5 linked regions of the Ovis aries genome follow. The protein of the gene in region 5 interacts with the protein of the main gene of each other region in a pairwise test. Links are inferred from orthologs where the notes say so. Each region holds a gene or a part of one and is shown on either strand. Other genes may lie near its edges.

The links.
Region 1: the proteins of SRSF11 (region 5) and HYI interact in binary tests that used the Homo sapiens proteins (3 or more experiments, as listed by UniProt). The two-hybrid records come from large-scale screens. The link is inferred for Ovis aries from reciprocal best matches to the Homo sapiens genes SRSF11 and HYI.
Region 2: the proteins of SRSF11 (region 5) and SDCBP interact in binary tests that used the Homo sapiens proteins (3 or more experiments, as listed by UniProt). The two-hybrid records come from large-scale screens. The link is inferred for Ovis aries from reciprocal best matches to the Homo sapiens genes SRSF11 and SDCBP.
Region 3: the proteins of SRSF11 (region 5) and LNX2 interact in a two-hybrid assay, tested with the Homo sapiens proteins (3 studies listed by BioGRID and IntAct). The link is inferred for Ovis aries from reciprocal best matches to the Homo sapiens genes SRSF11 and LNX2.
Region 4: the proteins of SRSF11 (region 5) and SRRM4 interact in binary tests that used the Homo sapiens proteins (3 or more experiments, as listed by UniProt). The link is inferred for Ovis aries from reciprocal best matches to the Homo sapiens genes SRSF11 and SRRM4.

The regions. Positions count from the first base shown.
Region 1 is NC_056054.1:18,121,520-18,125,472, forward strand, and holds the start of HYI (putative hydroxypyruvate isomerase), read right to left. Parts: upstream 2,808-3,953; 5' UTR 2,693-2,807; coding exon 2,494-2,692; intron 2,415-2,493; coding exon 2,303-2,414; intron 1,342-2,302; coding exon 1,227-1,341; intron 832-1,226; coding exon 753-831; intron 664-752; coding exon 614-663; intron 512-613; coding exon 442-511; intron 354-441; coding exon 1-353. UniProt on the Homo sapiens protein: Catalyzes the reversible isomerization between hydroxypyruvate and 2-hydroxy-3-oxopropanoate (also termed tartronate semialdehyde).
Region 2 is NC_056062.1:37,743,201-37,746,719, reverse strand, and holds part of SDCBP (syntenin-1), read right to left. Parts: intron 1,173-3,519; coding exon 1,011-1,172; intron 1-1,010. UniProt on the Homo sapiens protein: Multifunctional adapter protein involved in diverse array of functions including trafficking of transmembrane proteins, neuro and immunomodulation, exosome biogenesis, and tumorigenesis.
Region 3 is NC_056063.1:32,686,252-32,689,770, reverse strand, and holds part of LNX2 (ligand of Numb protein X 2), read right to left. Parts: intron 2,534-3,519; coding exon 2,375-2,533; intron 677-2,374; coding exon 541-676; 3' UTR 1-540.
Region 4 is NC_056070.1:56,187,099-56,190,617, forward strand, and holds part of SRRM4 (serine/arginine repetitive matrix protein 4), read right to left. Parts: intron 2,313-3,519; coding exon 2,033-2,312; 3' UTR 1-2,032. UniProt on the Homo sapiens protein: Splicing factor specifically required for neural cell differentiation.
Region 5 is NC_056054.1:46,060,722-46,063,116, reverse strand, and holds part of SRSF11 (serine/arginine-rich splicing factor 11), read right to left. Parts: intron 1,238-2,395; coding exon 1,121-1,237; intron 820-1,120; coding exon 681-819; intron 576-680; coding exon 378-575; 3' UTR 1-377. UniProt on the Homo sapiens protein: May function in pre-mRNA splicing.

The sequences.
Region 1 (3,953 bases), about 28 Mb from region 5:
ACCGTCCCAGAGGCATGTGGCTGGAGCGCAGGACCTCACTGGCCAGCCTGCGGGCGGCCCCTCATCTCCCAGTATGAACGCAGCCAACTCAGGCCCTCTGCTGTGTCTCCTGAGGGGAGCGGGCGCGCGGCCTCTCAGGCCATGAGGAGGAAGACAGCCCCTGTCGACAGTGTCCCTCCAGAGGCCCTTCCCTGGGGCCAGGCTCAGCCCACCCTCACCTCGAGGCTGGTACTCGCAGCCCACGAAGCCTGTGTAGCCTTCATCTTCCAGCAGTTGGAACAGATATGAGAAGTTGAGCTCTCCGGGGCTGTCGGGTTCCCCCCGACCGGGGACCTGTGCCACCTGCACGTGCCCTGGGGGTAGATGTTGGGGGTAGAGAGAGTGGAAGGACAGGGGAAGCCTCATGGCAGGCCAGGAAGAAGCCGAGAAAGGGGCCCTCACCAACAATGGGCAGGAACTCTCGCACGTTCCCTGTCAGGTTCCCGTCCATGATCTGCCAGTGGAATAAGTCCTAGGGCAGAGATGCCCCAGTCAGAGACCCTGCAGCCCACACCACTGTCCCTGGATTTGGAGAACACGGCCCTCTGAGAAGCACACCCTCTCCCCCACTTACCATCTGTAGCTGGAGGTTGGGTCTTCCCACCTTCTGTAAGATGGCTGCCGCTGGGAGAGAAACCAGGGAGAGGGGTCGTGAGACTCAAGGAGGGCTGGAGAATCAATGGACAGGAGGCGGCCGGGGGTTGGGGGCCTACCCTGCTGGGGCGTGTCCAGGAAATACCGGGGGTCCGTGATGCGGGTGTTTATGGGCTCCAGCAGTCCCACGAGGTTCTCCTAGCACCAGGCCAGATCTATGAGTAGAGCTCTCCCCAAGTTCGACCCCCTCAGTCAGTCACTGCTCAAGCCGATCCCCAGCCCTTCTGGCCTCGGCCAGGGCCCAGCCTTGTGCCTCACTGCGCTCCCTACTGTGCTTCCCCTCCACATACATACATGAAGTATGTGTGTCTGTATGTGTTTTCACTGTCTCATGTGGGTGCTCAGCCATGTCCAACTCTATGCGACCCCATGCTCCTCTGTCCATGGGATTACCTGGGCAAGAATACTGGAGTGGGTTGCCATTTCCTCCTCCAGAGGACGTTCCTGACCCAGGGATCAAACCCGCATCTCCTGCATTGGGAGGCGGATTCTTTACCACTGTGCCATCTGAGAAGCCCCTTTCACTGTCTCACCTGAGCCAAAACCTCAGCTGCGTGCCTGAGGTTCTCCAGGAAAACTACCTCCATTTCACCCCTGACCGCGGTTCTGTCAGCCCCCTTGGGCACTCGGCCAGCCATCAGGTGAATCCTGTGGGGAAAATGGGGCTGGAGGGGGGCTGTGGAGTCCATCCTCACCAAAGAAGCCTTCACACCCATGCTCGCTGGGTACTTCTCTTCCAGCTGCCCTCCGACTGCACCAGCCTCCCGTCTCCCCAGGTCCCCAGTGAGACCACCTGGCTGTGGTGCTCAGGCCTCCCGGCGCCCTCAGACACTTGTGTCAACCTAAGACCGAGGCTTTTCCCAGATTCCTTCTGAAGGCCCACCATCCTCCTGCTTCAGAGACCACAGGCCCTCACGCAGCCCCTCCTGTACATCCAGATTCTCCTTTTCCATGGCCCTTCTCCTCAAGCCTCACCTTTAAAAAATTACTTTGACCCTTATGCTCAGGTATTCCACGCTGCTTGTCTCTCCTCCTTGCATCTGTTTCTTAGCTGCTTCCCATCTGTTTTCTGCACACACACTCCTCCCTCTGCCCCATAACTGCTTGTTGCCAGTTCCTTCGCAGTCTGGTTGCCCTGTGCAGGATTTGACATTCACCTTATCAGCCCCACTCTGAGTCCCCCACCTTCTCCCTTCGCCACCTCATCTTTCTCAGTCACCTCCAAAGCAGACAGACTTCACCTCCAGCCTCATAATCTCTGCAGAATACACCAAGCCCCGGGGGCGTGTGGCTACTGCACCGCTGCCTGGAATGCTCCTTTGGTCAAGCAAGCACCCACCCCGGAGACCCAGTTCAACATCACTACCTGTTATGAAGCTTTCTCTGCTCCCAGAGTCTCCTTGAACTGACTGGGTTATGTCCCAGGTCATACTGAGTTCTCAGCATGAGGTGAGCAAGAAAGAGTTGCAAACTGAGAGTGACGTACACACAGATGAAATGCAAAAAGGCAATTTACAAGGGACCAGGACTAAAGAGGCAGAGACGGGAGTACCCCTGAGCCTCTTCTCTCGCGGATTATGGGGGCGGGGGAATGGAGAGGGGAGGTTACCTGGAACAGCCCAGAGCCTTAGCGTACAGCACCGCCTGCTCCAGCCCTTCTCGGAAGGCCGCCTGCCTCCCGGGAACAGCCCCCAGCCCATTCTCCCCCTTCTCTCTGTCTCCTGCGGAAAGAATGGGCCTCAGCTCCCTGCTCCTTCCCCACTGCCCCACCCTGTCCCGGCCTGGGCCCTCCCTGCGCACCTGGGGGCGTGTTGATTAGCACCACCCGTAGCCCGGCTTCCCGCGCTGCGCGCGCCAGCGCCTCCGGCGGCTCCGCATACGGCCAGCCGATCTCGGCTGCTTCGAAGCCCGAACTGCCCGCGGCCCGGAGCCGCGCGGGAAAGCCCGACAGCTCCGGGAACAGCCACGACAGGTTGGCCGAGAAGCGGAGCGGAGCCATGGCTACTCGAGAGCGCGCGCGGGGAGGAGTCCCCGCAGCTAGAAGGCTGCAATGGCGGGCAGGGTCGAGCGGGGACTCGAGGGCCCGCGCTGCCTGCAGGGCCGGGGAAGAGACTGGAGGGCCGCACTTGCGGGGCGGGGCGGGGCGGGGCGGGGCGGGGCGTGGAGGACCCGGAAGTGGTGGAGGAACCCGGCCCGGCCGCGCGGGGGCGCACTGGCGCCGCGAGCTGGGTGCCGGCCCTCTCCCGCTGGCAGACCCGTGGGTGGTAAGGGCCGCGAACCTGCCAGAAAAGTGCACTTTTCCGGACGGGAGAGGAAGGCATGGGGAGGGGGCGCGGGCCCAGTTAGGGTGAAGGAACGTGGATGCTAACAAACGCTTGGTGTTTACCTTCATTATAACCAGAATATCTGTTCATTAAAGAACTTTTGATAGCCATGTGCCGCACCACTCAGCCGTTAACTTTCCTGTACAGGGCAAAAACTCAACACGTACAGTCTTGTCCTAGAAAACCCTGATCACAGTGTATATGAGGTCTTATGGCATATTATTTCGTTTTCCCAGAGAAAATCTTGAATTAGCTGCTCGTTCCGCACCTCAACAGCCTAGAATTGATCATGCTTACAGGGGTTTCAAAGTGTGTGTGTGTGTGTGTGTGTGTGTGTGTGTGTGTGTGTGTGTGCGCGCGCGCGCGCGCGCGCACGTGTGCTATAAAAGCTCTTTAATGCACCTTTTGGTTCCATCTCTGAATCGTTTTCTCAGGTTCCTCTTGTAGGTACAAAGTTCAAAGTCCCTTGTAAGGCAAACTGCCCCCACCACTGGACTCAGCGCGGAGCTGCTGTGGGCGGCCTGTCTCCCTCAGCCCCAGCTGATTGGGCCACGGAAAGACATCTGATCAAGCGCAGCCAATCCATAGACGGGCCCGAGACCCTTGTCCAGTTTGTAAAGCTGATCTGGCCAATTAGATTCCCTCTTGGAGAGTTCAAACAAGGAAATCCTGAGAGCCAAGTAAGCGATGGGTTTGGCAGATGGTTCTGGCTGTACAAAATAAATAAGCTGGAGTCAGGTGGTGAGGAAAATTAGAACAGAGAAAGAGAATAACCGAACACTACGAGTAGGCGTAGCACATTGTGATACCGCTGCTTTAGAGTTCCCAGGACTGACCAAACCCACGGCAGCTCCCAGGTCTACGCTTCCTCAGGCCAGGATGTTTAGACTTTCCCTGGTTTCTGTGTCTGTAGTTTCCTGGTGTTTCTTCAGATCA
Region 2 (3,519 bases), on a different chromosome or scaffold from region 5:
GCCAGTAAGAGATGAAAGCAACCACAGGTCGCACCCCTTCTCCGTCCTGAGCTGCCCCAGATTTGGTGCTGCGTAGCCTGTACTCAGATTTGGTGCTGCGTATCCTGTACTTGAGGACGGCACCCAGCAGAGTGGCTACACCTACAAGCTTCGGCCACTGGACAAACCACTGCAAGGATAACTGCTGCAGGGGTGGAGCTGCGGAGAGTGTGGTCTCTCTCTAGGATGTAGAGAGGGCAGGGAAGTGCGAGCTTCCCAGAGCAGCACACTCAATGAGGGTCTCACACAAGCCACAAGTGTGCAAAGACACAATGCCCTCAGCCTCTGGGGAGGCAGGTAGGGCCCGGACTGGCCTCAAACATCTTCCGCCAGGCGCCACATCTTCTACATGCAAAGGCTGGATGCGCTGAGCTATGAGACCGAAGACTGAAAAGAAGCCCAATAAATAACCTGGAAACCCACAAATCAGGGTAAAGACTCAGCACCTCCTTAGTGATCCTAAGTGCTTCCCCACAGAGTAACCAGGTTTCATTTCTTCCATCTGGTAAGGTGAGAGGTGAAGTAATGTACTTTAGAAAGTCACTGTTGCCTGGAAAATGCCCCATGAAAGTCAAATTCAAGGATGGAAATAACAAACCCCAAACCACATTACAAGTCACATGATCGTCTTTAAGTTTAAAAATACACAAGACCACTGACCCTCACCTATCAGTCTTAACTTCCACACGTTACCCTATTTCAATGCCAGCATTCTCCTTGTATGAACTATGTTATAATACACGCAGACTAGTGAACTTTATTCCAGAAAAAGGACTCAGAAAAAATTCATCCATGGTAATGCTCAAGTCCCAGCTCTGCCTCTTCAGAACAGGGTAGCATCTCACGTGGAAAAGCAGATTAAAAGTAGTCTTGATCAGAGAGCACCATTACACTTCATTAAAGCATTTACATTTTAAATTGTAACTGGGTCACATAACAGCTAATCAGACAAGTGTACTGAAAGCACTTACATTGTCTATGGATTTCAGCCGGAGCCCAATCTTCCCGTCTTGATCCTTACACAAGATGACTTCTCGGATCCCTTGCTTGATCTCTGCTCTGCGGATCCCAGTGTCGCCACCAGTGACAGGGGCCACCATGTGGTCCATGCTGGAAGGCCGTGCCACCAACTGCTGCCAAAGACACATGCAACACGTCAGTATTCGCAAACACGCGCCCTGAGAAAATCCAAAATTGAACATATTCTGTTGTGGTTTCCTAAAATGTAATCTGCCGATTATTTCCTTCAGATATGAGTTTTGCAAAAATGACCCTATTTTGTTTTTTAAAACTAATTCTGCAGGTAATTTACCCCCCCAGACACCATCTCCAGCAGACTCAATGACTCTGTTGCCCGATGAATTCACTGGCATTTGTTTTATGTGTACCCTGGCTTGTTTTCAACTCAAATATATTATCCTTGAACTTTATAAAGGCTGTACTTTACTTTTAAACTCACACAGCATCTTCCTGAGGGTTCTTTTATATGGCCTTCAACAATGTACTTACCCTTTCAGAGTTTTTATTACAGAGGCAAACTTCTTACCTCACAGCTCCACTACAAGGACTAAAAGCACCTACTAGTCAAGTGCTGACACACACAAGACAAATGTTATTTTTCATCCCTTTGGTAAACATCTGTGGATTAACCAACTGTATGGAGAATAGCTGTACTAGGGACTCCGTTAGGTACCAGGCCTCACATTCCTAATTTTTTTTTCTTGACCAAAATGAGTTTAGTGTTTTAAGTGGACCCTTTCCTCTACCAAAGAAAATGAGGGAAGAGCATATTTGTTACCAAAGCGTCTTAACCGGAACCTGTCATGAAAAGCTCTGGTCTGACACCGTGATGCTCAGAACAGCCATGATGGGGGAGAGAAACCTCAGCCGCACACACACAGGCTGCCAATGTCTCCGTTCAGAATCACAGTCACCAGGACATCACACACACACAAAGAGCCATACCACTAATCAAGCACAATACCAGAAAATACAACTTTTGAAGAATTACAAAAATTCAATGATTACAGCTATAAAAGCATAAAAATCAGGCAATGGGATAGAAAAAATTAAGCAAATGAATTTAGTTTAGCTGAAACATAGGACAAAAGGGAGGAGCTTTGGAGTATAACTTTTGGAAAAGAATTTCTTTCCAGCAAGTACAGTTAAGTGCTTACTCGGTGTTCTTACCATGATCCATATGACCAACACATGACCACTGCTCCCTCCTGCTAAGGCTACTATGACCACCATCTACTCTTGCCCTTCTATTTGCCCTCCACACAGCAAGCACTGAAACCCTTTTGTTAATCCCACAACTCAGACCCCCAACCCCTTACCCTGTCCACAAGGCCACAGACTACCTGGCCTGACAGCCCTTCCAATGTCACCCCCCAGTGCATCTGCAGCCACATTCTGTCTCATCTGCCCTCACCGAGGTCCTGTCTCTCAGGCCTCTCAAGCTCATTTCTGCCCGGAAGCCTCTCAAGGTCTCTGTATATACTGGCTAGTAAAGCTGAACGTACTTACTATGGTTCCCTTACCAGAAAATATTTGTTGCGCGTCAACAAATGTGAAGAAATATGAAGAAAGAAGCCTGTGGGCACACTGAAGAGAAGAGAGGCCAGCAAGCGTCACAGACTGTCCGTGCCTTCCAAGCCCACCCTCTGTGGTGAGCCCTCTTCTGCCATGGCTTTCTGGTCAGGACCCCTCGCGAGGAGGACGTGCCAGGGCCTGCCCCTTCCTGTCTGCTTCCTGCTCCTGCCAGTACTGCCTGGGGCCAGCCCTTCATGCTGCTGGCAGCAGGTGACTCCAGTCTCCAGATTCCAGACACTGGCAGCACAGCCTCCCTGCAGCCCCCAGAGGTACCAGCATCCATCACAGGGGGCCCTCCCCTGAGGCCCAGCTCACGGGGCTCCTCCACCAACACTGTTGGCTCTGCGAACTGTAACCCCCATCCCGTATGCCCCAGTTCTAGGAGAAGCAGCTTTCTGGGTTCCGCTTTTGCTTTTTTCAATTCTTCAACCTCTCTGATTTCTTGTTATCTCTGTTAAAATTCTTGTGTGATTTCTGTTGTTCCACCTGGACCCTGACTGATGTAAGCAAGTTTTCAATAAATATTTGGTGAATAAATTGAAAGCCAGGTACTGTACTAAGCATGGGAGTTATGGCAGCAACAGAGACATAAAGGCTGTCTTCATGAAGTTATGCATTTACCTATGACAAGTACTGTAAGGTATTACAGTCTTATAGCAACAATCTTAACAAAAGACTGAGACACACTATATTTAAGCCAAGAATTTGGGGTCAAACTGTAAGAAGCTTTAAACTTAAAAAGATTATGAGCAAAAAAAAGGTAACAGACCTGAATTTCAGAATGATAAAGTTAGCAGTAGCTCAGCATTCATTGATATAACAAGTTACTAGAGGAGTTACTGGAAGAAGAGCCAAGTGTAACATCTAGGTGAGAGGTATAAATCA
Region 3 (3,519 bases), on a different chromosome or scaffold from region 5:
TGAGATGAAAGTAGATACAAAATAAGCCAGAAAAATGACCTTTTAAACAGTATTGTTTGAAATGTTGGCACAGATGAAAATGGGGAGCAGCTTCTCCACACTGAGCAGGCGGCCACTCACGGCACTGGCCACCCAAGTGACAGCCCACTTGGCCCGTCTCGGGCACATGGAACTCATTTTATGACTCAGTTACTTAAAACAGAGCTACTGTAAGCCGCCTGATGCAGCCTGCTGGCTCACAGTTTGGGCAGACTTCATTCTTTATTACAGCTCACATTCTGACAACTGAGAACCTGGATTCTGAAAATGTGACCCCACGAGGGTTAGGGGAAGACGCGTTCTGAGCTGAGAGAAATGTGACAAACTGAGGGGGAGGAGGCATTTAAATATTAATAACAAAAGGACAAGCCTGGTGGGTTTGGCCCTGTGTGTCCCAGCTGCGTCAGCAGGCCCTAACAGAAACTTGACAAAACCAAAGGGGTTTCTTCCCAAGACCTAAAAAAATAGGGAAGCTGTTCGACTTAACATCAAATTCAAAATCTACACGAGGCTGCCAGGCCAACAGATGACGGTCAGCGTGACTTTGTTTCTCTGCTCCTTCAGCATGGGGACCAGCGCCGAGTGGCTCATGCCCACGGTCGACAGGCCGTTCACAGCCACGATCATGTCTCCACATCTGGACAACGAGAGACAGAAACAGTCACCGTTTTCACGGTATCAGAAATGTTGTCCTGAGATTTGTTTGGTACACTTACCCATTAACTGTTGATGATCAGGCTATGTGACTTTCTTTGAGAAATATCTGGGTGATTTTTTAAGCCTATGTTGGCTTTCCCTTGTCAACCGGGGACACCCCCGTGCCAGCCTCTCCTGTAACTGGTGGATGATTTCAAAGGAAAGCAGAGTAATTTTCAGAGAAGCTTAAGCAATGTATAGTTAACAGAATAAATCTGCTGCCTCCTTTAAAAATACCACATGATAAATTTGGAGGGGGCTGCTATTTTCATGGTTGATTTTTTACAGTCCATTCGAGGCTTCAACTAAATGAGACCCACACCTCTTTCAGCCAAGGATGCTCACTGTCCTTCAGCTTAATTATCACAAATGGATGGTGAATCTGAAGACCTTTCTATCTTTTATAATTTTTAGTCTTTATTTTGAATATGAATATGTTACTTTCTTGTGATCTAGTTCAACTTCTTTTAGGAAGTGGAAGTTAATTAGTCTATAATTTACACGAGACCCAGACTGGCTGAACAGTTGGCTAAGAGAATGGTTATTTCATCCCAGCCTCCCACTCTTTGCTCCTGAAGTGATTTTTTCATCTCTACCAGGTGACAGTGGGATCTGGAGCACACTGACCCTGATGGATTTTCCTCGATATTCCCGAGCTGTTGCTCTGTGTTTGCAAAATGTAAATGCCCTGATTTGTGCAGCACTCTGACTAGGATGTCAGCATCTACTTTTTAAGAACTGTTTCTTGCATCCAAAACTAGGTCCTAAGAACTTACAGTCACCCGTCTCCTCTGTCTGTATAATCTCTTGATGGAATGCCTCTTTCTTCTCATGGTGCCTGAGCTCTGAGAAAGGTGGCACAGAGGCTGAGAGGGTACTTTTTGCCCAGTGGTGACAACAGCAGGGGCTGAATGGCCAAGACTCCTAGATTAACTGCTGTCAACGACTTCCAGCTATTTGACTATAGGCAGTTTTTTAACCTGAATCCTCAGTGTCTTGCTTATAAAATAGGAACACCAGCAGCACCTACCTCGCAGGCTGCTAAGAAGGTGCAGTAACCCATAGCCAGCACCTAGCACCACGCCTGGCACGCACATCATCCATCAATACTGATGAAACCTTTACTACGAATGCAAGGCCCCACGCTGCCTGCCAGGGATCTAACACAAAATGCAACAAAATCCCTCCCATGTGGACTTGCGTGAATTGAGCATTACGTTGACATAAGTGCTGTAGAGAAAAGTCACCTACTGACAGGACTGGACTCAGGTGCTCAGGGCAAGCTTTGGGTCATGATGTGTCCACATGACTCTGCGTTACTGTTAATCTCACAAGAGGCACTGACCTGTGGTACCAAGATGCTTCAGTCTGGATCAGGCCTGGCAGATCTGTCTCTGTAAAGGGCCAAATGGTAGGTAGACAGAGGGCCTGGGCTCTGTGAGTCACTGGTCTCGGGACTGGCCACTTGGCTCTGCCATCACATCTCAGAAGCAGCCCGGGGAGATAGGTAAACAAGGGAGCATGGGTATGTTCCAATAAAACTTTATTTACAAGGATGGACAACAGGCTGGACTTGGGAGCTGACCTTGTGTCCATCACAGTAAATGCAAATCACATCATTAAACACAATAAGACTCACTTTAATCTTCCGTCGTAATAAGCAGGGGTCCCCAGGACGATAGTTTTTATGAAAAAAGGCTGATTGGTATGGTTCTCTTCGTATCCACCGACGATACTAAAGCCCCAGCTTCCCAAGTAGCTTCTTCGCAAGACTATGTCATGGCAGCTATGAAGGGCACTGTCAACACAGAGACCAAGAAAAATTAGTGTGAGGGTTTTTTATAGCCTGTTCATCTTTGTTGTAACTCCACACCATGGTCCGTGCCTCCATTATGGATGGGGAGCAACATACAACATGCCAGAACAGAGCTGCTCATGTGCTCTGGTTTCTTAGCTCAATGAGAAGCACTTAACAGAACACTGACAGAAGTTACTTTGCACAAAGGAACGCTTGTGGTGTTACTACATCTCTGGTCATTAATGTGTAAAAAAGCTTCCAGTAGAGAGGAGTCCCATGCATTGGCCTAATGTTTTAGGACAGTACAGGTTATTTTCGTTATTCTGAATCTTCTGCAGAAGATAAAACAACGCAAACAAGCAGGTGTGTGTACATGCCAGCACACACAGTGGAAGAGCCCCCGCTCCCACCCCACCAGGGAAAGCAGAGCTGTTGCCCCAAATGACAGCCCTCTGACCCACGGTCATTGAATACTGGTTTGTATACAATAGAGATCTCTGGGAGTCTACAGAACAGTGGCTGTTTAGTGACAGGTATTCCTTTGACCTATACTAAACTAGGTTTTAGTATCCTGTGTTTCTTCTTTTATATTGGAGTATAGTTGATTTAGTTTCCCTGGTGGCTCAGCAGTAAAGAATCTGCCTGCCAGTCCAGGAGACGTGAGTTCGATTGCTGGGCTGGGAAGATCCCCTGGAGGAGGAAATGGCAATCCACTCCAGTATTCCTGCCTGAAGAATCCCACAGGCAGAGGAGCCTGGCAGGCTACATACAGTCCATGGGATCGCAAAGAGACAGACACAACTTAGTGACCAAACACCACCACAGCTGATTTATAACGTTGTTTTAGGTATACAGCTAAGAGATTCAGTTATATGTATCCATTCTGTTTCAGGGTGTTTTCCCATATAGGTTATTATAGAATATTGAGTACAGTTCCCTGTGCTATACAGTAGATCTTTATTGATTATCTGTTTTGTATAGAGTGA
Region 4 (3,519 bases), on a different chromosome or scaffold from region 5:
ATAAATAAATAAGAGGTTAGCTAGGAGCCCCAGGCAAAAACGGTCCCCCAGAATTGCGTGTATGAAGGCAGTCTGGACGGGGGCTCTTGAGTCTTTCACTGCTGTCCTGCTAAGGAGGTTCCGTGGCTCCAGAAAGCCTTTGTTTCCATGAAGGGAGACTGGAGTCCAGTTCGGGCTCCTGGGCAGGGAAGAGGGTTATTTACAGTTGCTGCACAGGCCCTCCCAGGGCACCTGCCCCTGCCCCAGGCACCTGCCATCAGGCCTCCAGTGACCGCGCTGGCATCCGTTGGTCCTGGCGGGCGGGGCCCAGTTCTGGGCCAGCGGGTGCCATGGAGAGGCTCGGTCCCCCGCTGCTGCCCCGGGGCCTGGCTCCCCTCTCCTGCTGGAGGGAGGACGTCACTGCTTCTCAGAAACAGGATTTTTTTTCCCCCAAATGTTTCCCCTCCTCAGGGCACAAGGGATAAAGAATATTTGGTTCTCTGCTTCCCAGAGCCCCAGGTTCCAAAGCTGGGCGCTGTCCCTCTCACCCTCTCCCTGCACGCCCTGCCCTGCTGCTGTTGCCACCACAAACTGGAACCTCACCGCAAGGCTCCGGAAAGCCAGTCAGCTGGTGAGGGGGATGCCCCAGAGTTTATTTTAAGGATCTTCTCCCTCATGCCCCTGTTCTTAGTGCCCTCTGTGGGTGAAGCAGCTGGTGGTATTTGTGTGCTGCAGATCAGCTTACCTTCACTGCCCAGCCCTGGGGGGTGCTGGGGGTAAGTGGGGTGAGGGCAGAAACGAGGGTGGGCTTCTCTCAAGCTGGTAAGAGCTCTGGAAACCAGCAGGAGCTTCGGAGCATCTAACCTCCTTTCCCCCAGACTCTCTGGATTTGGATCTTTTCCCCAAACCTGGGCTGCTGTGCCCCATCCTGGCAAAATTCCCGAGGGGCAAAATGGGTGCCTCAGGCTGAGGGTGGTAGGTGGGTGAGAAGGTGCTTGGCTGCACTGGGTAGGATCCAGGGTGCCCTTTCTGGGCAGTGGGGAGGGGGCAGGCAGGCGCCAACTAGAGGGTAAGGCCAGACTGGCTGGCGCTGGGGACTGGCAGCTGGCCACAGCACTGGGGAATGTTCAGCAGATGGTCCCGTGGAACTAAGCTGTTGCCAGCTACTGGGGCCGAGGCAAACTTGGGAAGTGGGGTTGCAGACCCAGCTGTCCTGACTGTCCGTTGTGTCCTTTCTCAGAGGTCGCAGGGTCCCTGTGAGCCACCACGAGGCATTTTGTGTAAATGGCGTGGTGACCTCTCCATGGCTAGAAACTACTGGGCCCCTCTTCCCGACCACAAGGAGATACTGGGAGCAGTGGGCTTATCCACCCTCGTTCTTGCTTCTAGACTCATGACAGAGAGTTCATCTCCTAGCTCCTGACACCTACTACCAAGTGAAATGTCCATGTCCCCTAGTCACGTGTCCCCCTTTCTAGGACCCAATAGCCTTTCAGCACTTGCTCTGGCCTATGTGGGGAGCTAAAACTCCTGATCCCCTCTCCTGGACCTGAATCACCCTGCTCTCTTCTAATATCCACCCCTCACCCCATGGGATCCACGGGGGTCCATATACATGTAGCCACGAGATTGGGTGAGAGGAGAATGAGGGCAGATGTGATAAATACCGCTGGTCTTCGGTGTGCAGCCTGGCAGCAGTGGGTTAGCAGAACTCTCTCCACATTTTCCTGGCCAGACCCAAACTTCTGAGTCATGGACTCACCGCTCCTTATAAACCATTGAGGCTTTTCTGTGCCAAAAGAAGGTAGTCTTCTCCACATGCTCAGGCCTGAGCTGAGCCCCAGCAGGTGTGGTGGAGGCTCCCAGTAGCTCCACATGGAGACTGAAGCCCCCACACCCTCCTTTCCTCTTCCCCAGGAGAGCAGGAAGGACAGGGCCTGGGAGCCCTCAGTGCTGTCTGTCACCAAGGAGAAGGCAGGGTGGTCGGGGAGTGGGGGAGGCTGCCAGAGTGAAAGGGGCTCCACAGGCAGTGGGCTCACGGGAGGGCCCTGGCTTAGCGCCTTGTGCTGGAGTAGCTGTCTGCTGAGCTGTAGCTCCCACTCCGACTTCGACTCCGGCTCCGGCTCCGGCTCCGGGAGCCCAGGCTGGGGCTGCGGGAGCTGCAGCTGCTGCTAGTGAGGGTCCTGCTCCGGCTGCGGCTGCGGCTGCGGCTCCGGGAGTAGCTTCGGCTGGCTGAGCGGCTGCTGCTGCTGCTGTACCAGGAGGAGGTGCTGCTGAGGCCGCTGGAAGAAGAGGGGCTGGGCCGGTAGTACGGGATGGGGCGTTTCCGGGCACTGCAGAGATCAGAGGGGGAAAGTGTCACGGCAGGACTCCTCCCAGCTGCAATCCCGGGAGCACAGGCATTGTCCTAGGAGACATGTCCCAGCTCCTTAGGGGGAAAAAAATTCCTGTTACTCTTCTCTTGCAGTCCTGAGAACATCAAGGAGGTGGTCTCAGTCTAGTGCTGATATGCTTTGAACAGTGATAATCTCGCTTTTTTAACATTTCAAGGCTGGGCTCAGAGAGAGCATCCAGCTGGCCCCAGAATCTACATCTCAACTTTAATCACAGTTTTGTTTTGCTATTTTTATTTTTACTAGAACCTTCTATCTATGGCAAAAGAGCTTGATTTTTCTATTTATTGTAGTGTATCAAGTTTCGTTTTGAAATAAATGTATGGACCTAAAAAAAAAAAGGCGTATCTATTCAAAGAAATTTAAGTAAGCAGTACACTTAATCAGACAAGGCAAAAGTGGTGGGTGATGGAAGCCTGGAAAACACCGAATGGATTCACTCAGGTGGGTTATTTGGGGTTGAGTACAGAACCCAGAGAGCCTTTGGAAACACCACTCCCTTTTTCTTAGACTTCCTCCAAGTCCACTCCAAGGATACCTCTGAAAGTCAAGGCAGAGAGTGTAGGACTCCCACCGCATGTCTCAGGCCAAGGCAGGCTGTTCAGTGAGACGTCTGAGACATGACACCATTACCTTGCCTTACCGTCTGGGGCACAAGCTCTTTTTTCTCCTTCAGGTCATCTCTAGTGAAGAGGCATGGGCAGCCAGGGTTCTCCTTTCCTTGTGGGTCTCTGGACTGAGGAGCTGACCCTTGGAGGACCAGGAGGAAGACCCACCAATTTTCAAACGCCGCTTTTAGGGCAGCATTCGGCCATTTTCTCCATGTCAAGGCCTGAGGATTCTCTTCTGGGGCTTTTCTCATCTGAGGCTTTACCTGTTGCAGAAATCTTTACCTACCAAGTCTGACCATCCAGTCCATCACAGTGGCACACAGTGGGCTTAGTGCTCTGCATTTAAGTGTGTAAATTGCACTCATATCTCTTTGCCCCTTTTCATTTTATCCTTTTGACACTTCTAGGAGTTATTTCCTCCAGCAGTTTATGGGTGAAAAAAAGATTCTGGGAGGTGAAGAGACTTTCCCAGCTCACCCGGAAAGTGGCACAGCCAAGATTCCTCTCCAAAATACTGGTCTTCCCCTTACCCACTA
Region 5 (2,395 bases):
GCTCTATTACGGCAATGAATCAAATTCTAGAAATACTATAAGTGAACTTACTTAATAAAGGAGATCATACAACATAAACAATCCATGCCTGCTGTAGATGCATGCAGCTTTTCATTTTTGTTATGAAGCAGCACCAGGATAGTAAAACTGCTTGGTTACTCAATCAGATTTCACCCTGTCACGAATTGGTTACCCCTGTATCATTTTCCTAAAAGCTTTTGGATGTAAATAACTAATATCAACATCAGGAGCTTTATAACCATTTATGACTCAGAGCTGTATACATCTAGGTTTGAGATGAACAAATACAGCATTAAGAAATCACACAGGAATGACACTGATGCATGTACACAGTTAGATTCCCACAGAGGCATGGTTCAGTCACTCATATCCATGTCTTCTTCATGATGATCATCCCCATTCACTTTAGATTCTCTTAGTGAATCACCAGTTCCCTTTTCCACAGAACATTCTTTTGTTTTAGGAGAACCTGGTTCTGCTGGTTTCTTCTCCTCCTTTTTCTCCTTCTCGCTGTCATACCCCTGTTCCTCTTCATCGTAGTCCCGTGTAACCTGCTTTGCCAAGGAGAATAAGAAAAGTAAACGTCTTCACAGAAAAATTACTTCTTTAAAGTACCAACATCAACTAAAACACCAGAATATATTAGTTTGTAAACATACTTTTACATCTTTATCACTCTCTGATTTTCTTTCCCGTTCCTTTTCCTTATCTTTACTTTTCTTCTTCTTGCTTGTGGATCGCTCTCTTTCATCTCTGCTTCTTTCTTTGTCTTTATCTTTCTTCTTCTCCTTTTTATGTCTAGGATGACAGTAAAATGCTCACAAGATGCTTGAAACAAAGTGCTCAAGAATTTTTGCCATTATTTAAACAGCAATAAGTTTAAATTTGTTTTAGATGGTAAGCTTGATGTTAAGTTCACTGCTATAAGGAGATTACAGGTCTAAAATGCCTAATCATAAACAGTGTTTATTTTAACAATCTCAAGTCATGAAGAGAATGTATCAGCACATTCTTAAGTATTTTAATTCCTGAGAAGGAAGAAAAATCCTAGGACAGTTTCTGAAAAACAGGATAGATCTAATAAAAGATTAATACTTACCTTCTAGGGGATGGTGAACGAGACAATTTTCTTTTGGGAGACCTAGGCTTTTTAGGAGATCTTGTACCACTTCTGCTTCTTCGTCGTCGTCTCTCTCTAGAAGAACAAATGTGCAAACTAGACTTTAAAATACAGTGTTATTCAAAAAATGCAGGCACATCATACCAGAAATGTCTACAATGGAACTCCAATAGAAACAGAAAACTCCATTTTCAAATATTGTTTGGAGCTGAAGAAGCAAATGGGTAATAAAAGTCGGCAACTTTTTGGGGGTAAACTATGTGCCTTTCCTTTAATGCCCTTAGGAAAGCCCTAATTTCTAGCAATTCTTAAAGACATGATGTCATCAAAACATCAGAAATGTTAAGCTCAAGGAAAAACTGATCAACAAAGGTGCTAATTCAAGTCTGAAGTAAATTATTATTCAAAGAACCAGCTTTAGATTCAAAGGACAGAACATGTAAAGGATTAATGTGTTGTGTTATGGAAGGCAGTTGCTAATGAAATTCAAAACTACTTCTAAATCATCAGGTAAAACAGAGAACCGAGAACTAGAGTTAATGGTGGTGGTGGTTTAGTTGCCAAGTTATGTCTGACTCTTTTGCAACCCCAAGGACTGTAAACCCACCAGGCTCCTCTATCCATGGGATTTCCCAGGCAAGAATACTGATGTGGGTTGCCATTTCCTTCTCCAGGGGATCTCCCGACCCAGGGATCAAACACACCTCTCCTGAACTGCAGGCTGATTCTTTACCACTGAGCCATCAGGAAACGGGGATCAAACTGACTTCCTGTTGTCCAGCAAATCATGCCCCTAATCCAATCCCTATTTTGAGCAATTAGCTTTTTAAGATATACCTCCTTCTCTTTAAATTGACTTTTTAAAAACTCCTGCTTCTACAATACAAACAGATGGAAAGCTTTGCTGTGTTCTTGGACTGGAAGTACCAATACTGTTAAAATGACTACACCACCCAAGGTAATCTAAAGATTCAATGCAATCCATATCAAAATACCAATGGCACTTCCTGCAGAATTAGAACAATTTTAAAATTTGTATAGAAACAAAAACAACCTTGAATAGCCAAAACAATCTTGACAGAAAGAACCAAGAGCTGGAGGAATCACATTCCCTGGCTTCAGACTATATTACAAAGCTATAGTAATCAAAACAGTACGGTACAGGCACAAAAACAGACACATCAATCAATGAAACAGAGTAAGAGTCCAGAAATAAAGGCACACACTTATGGTCAGGAGGCTAGAATATACAAT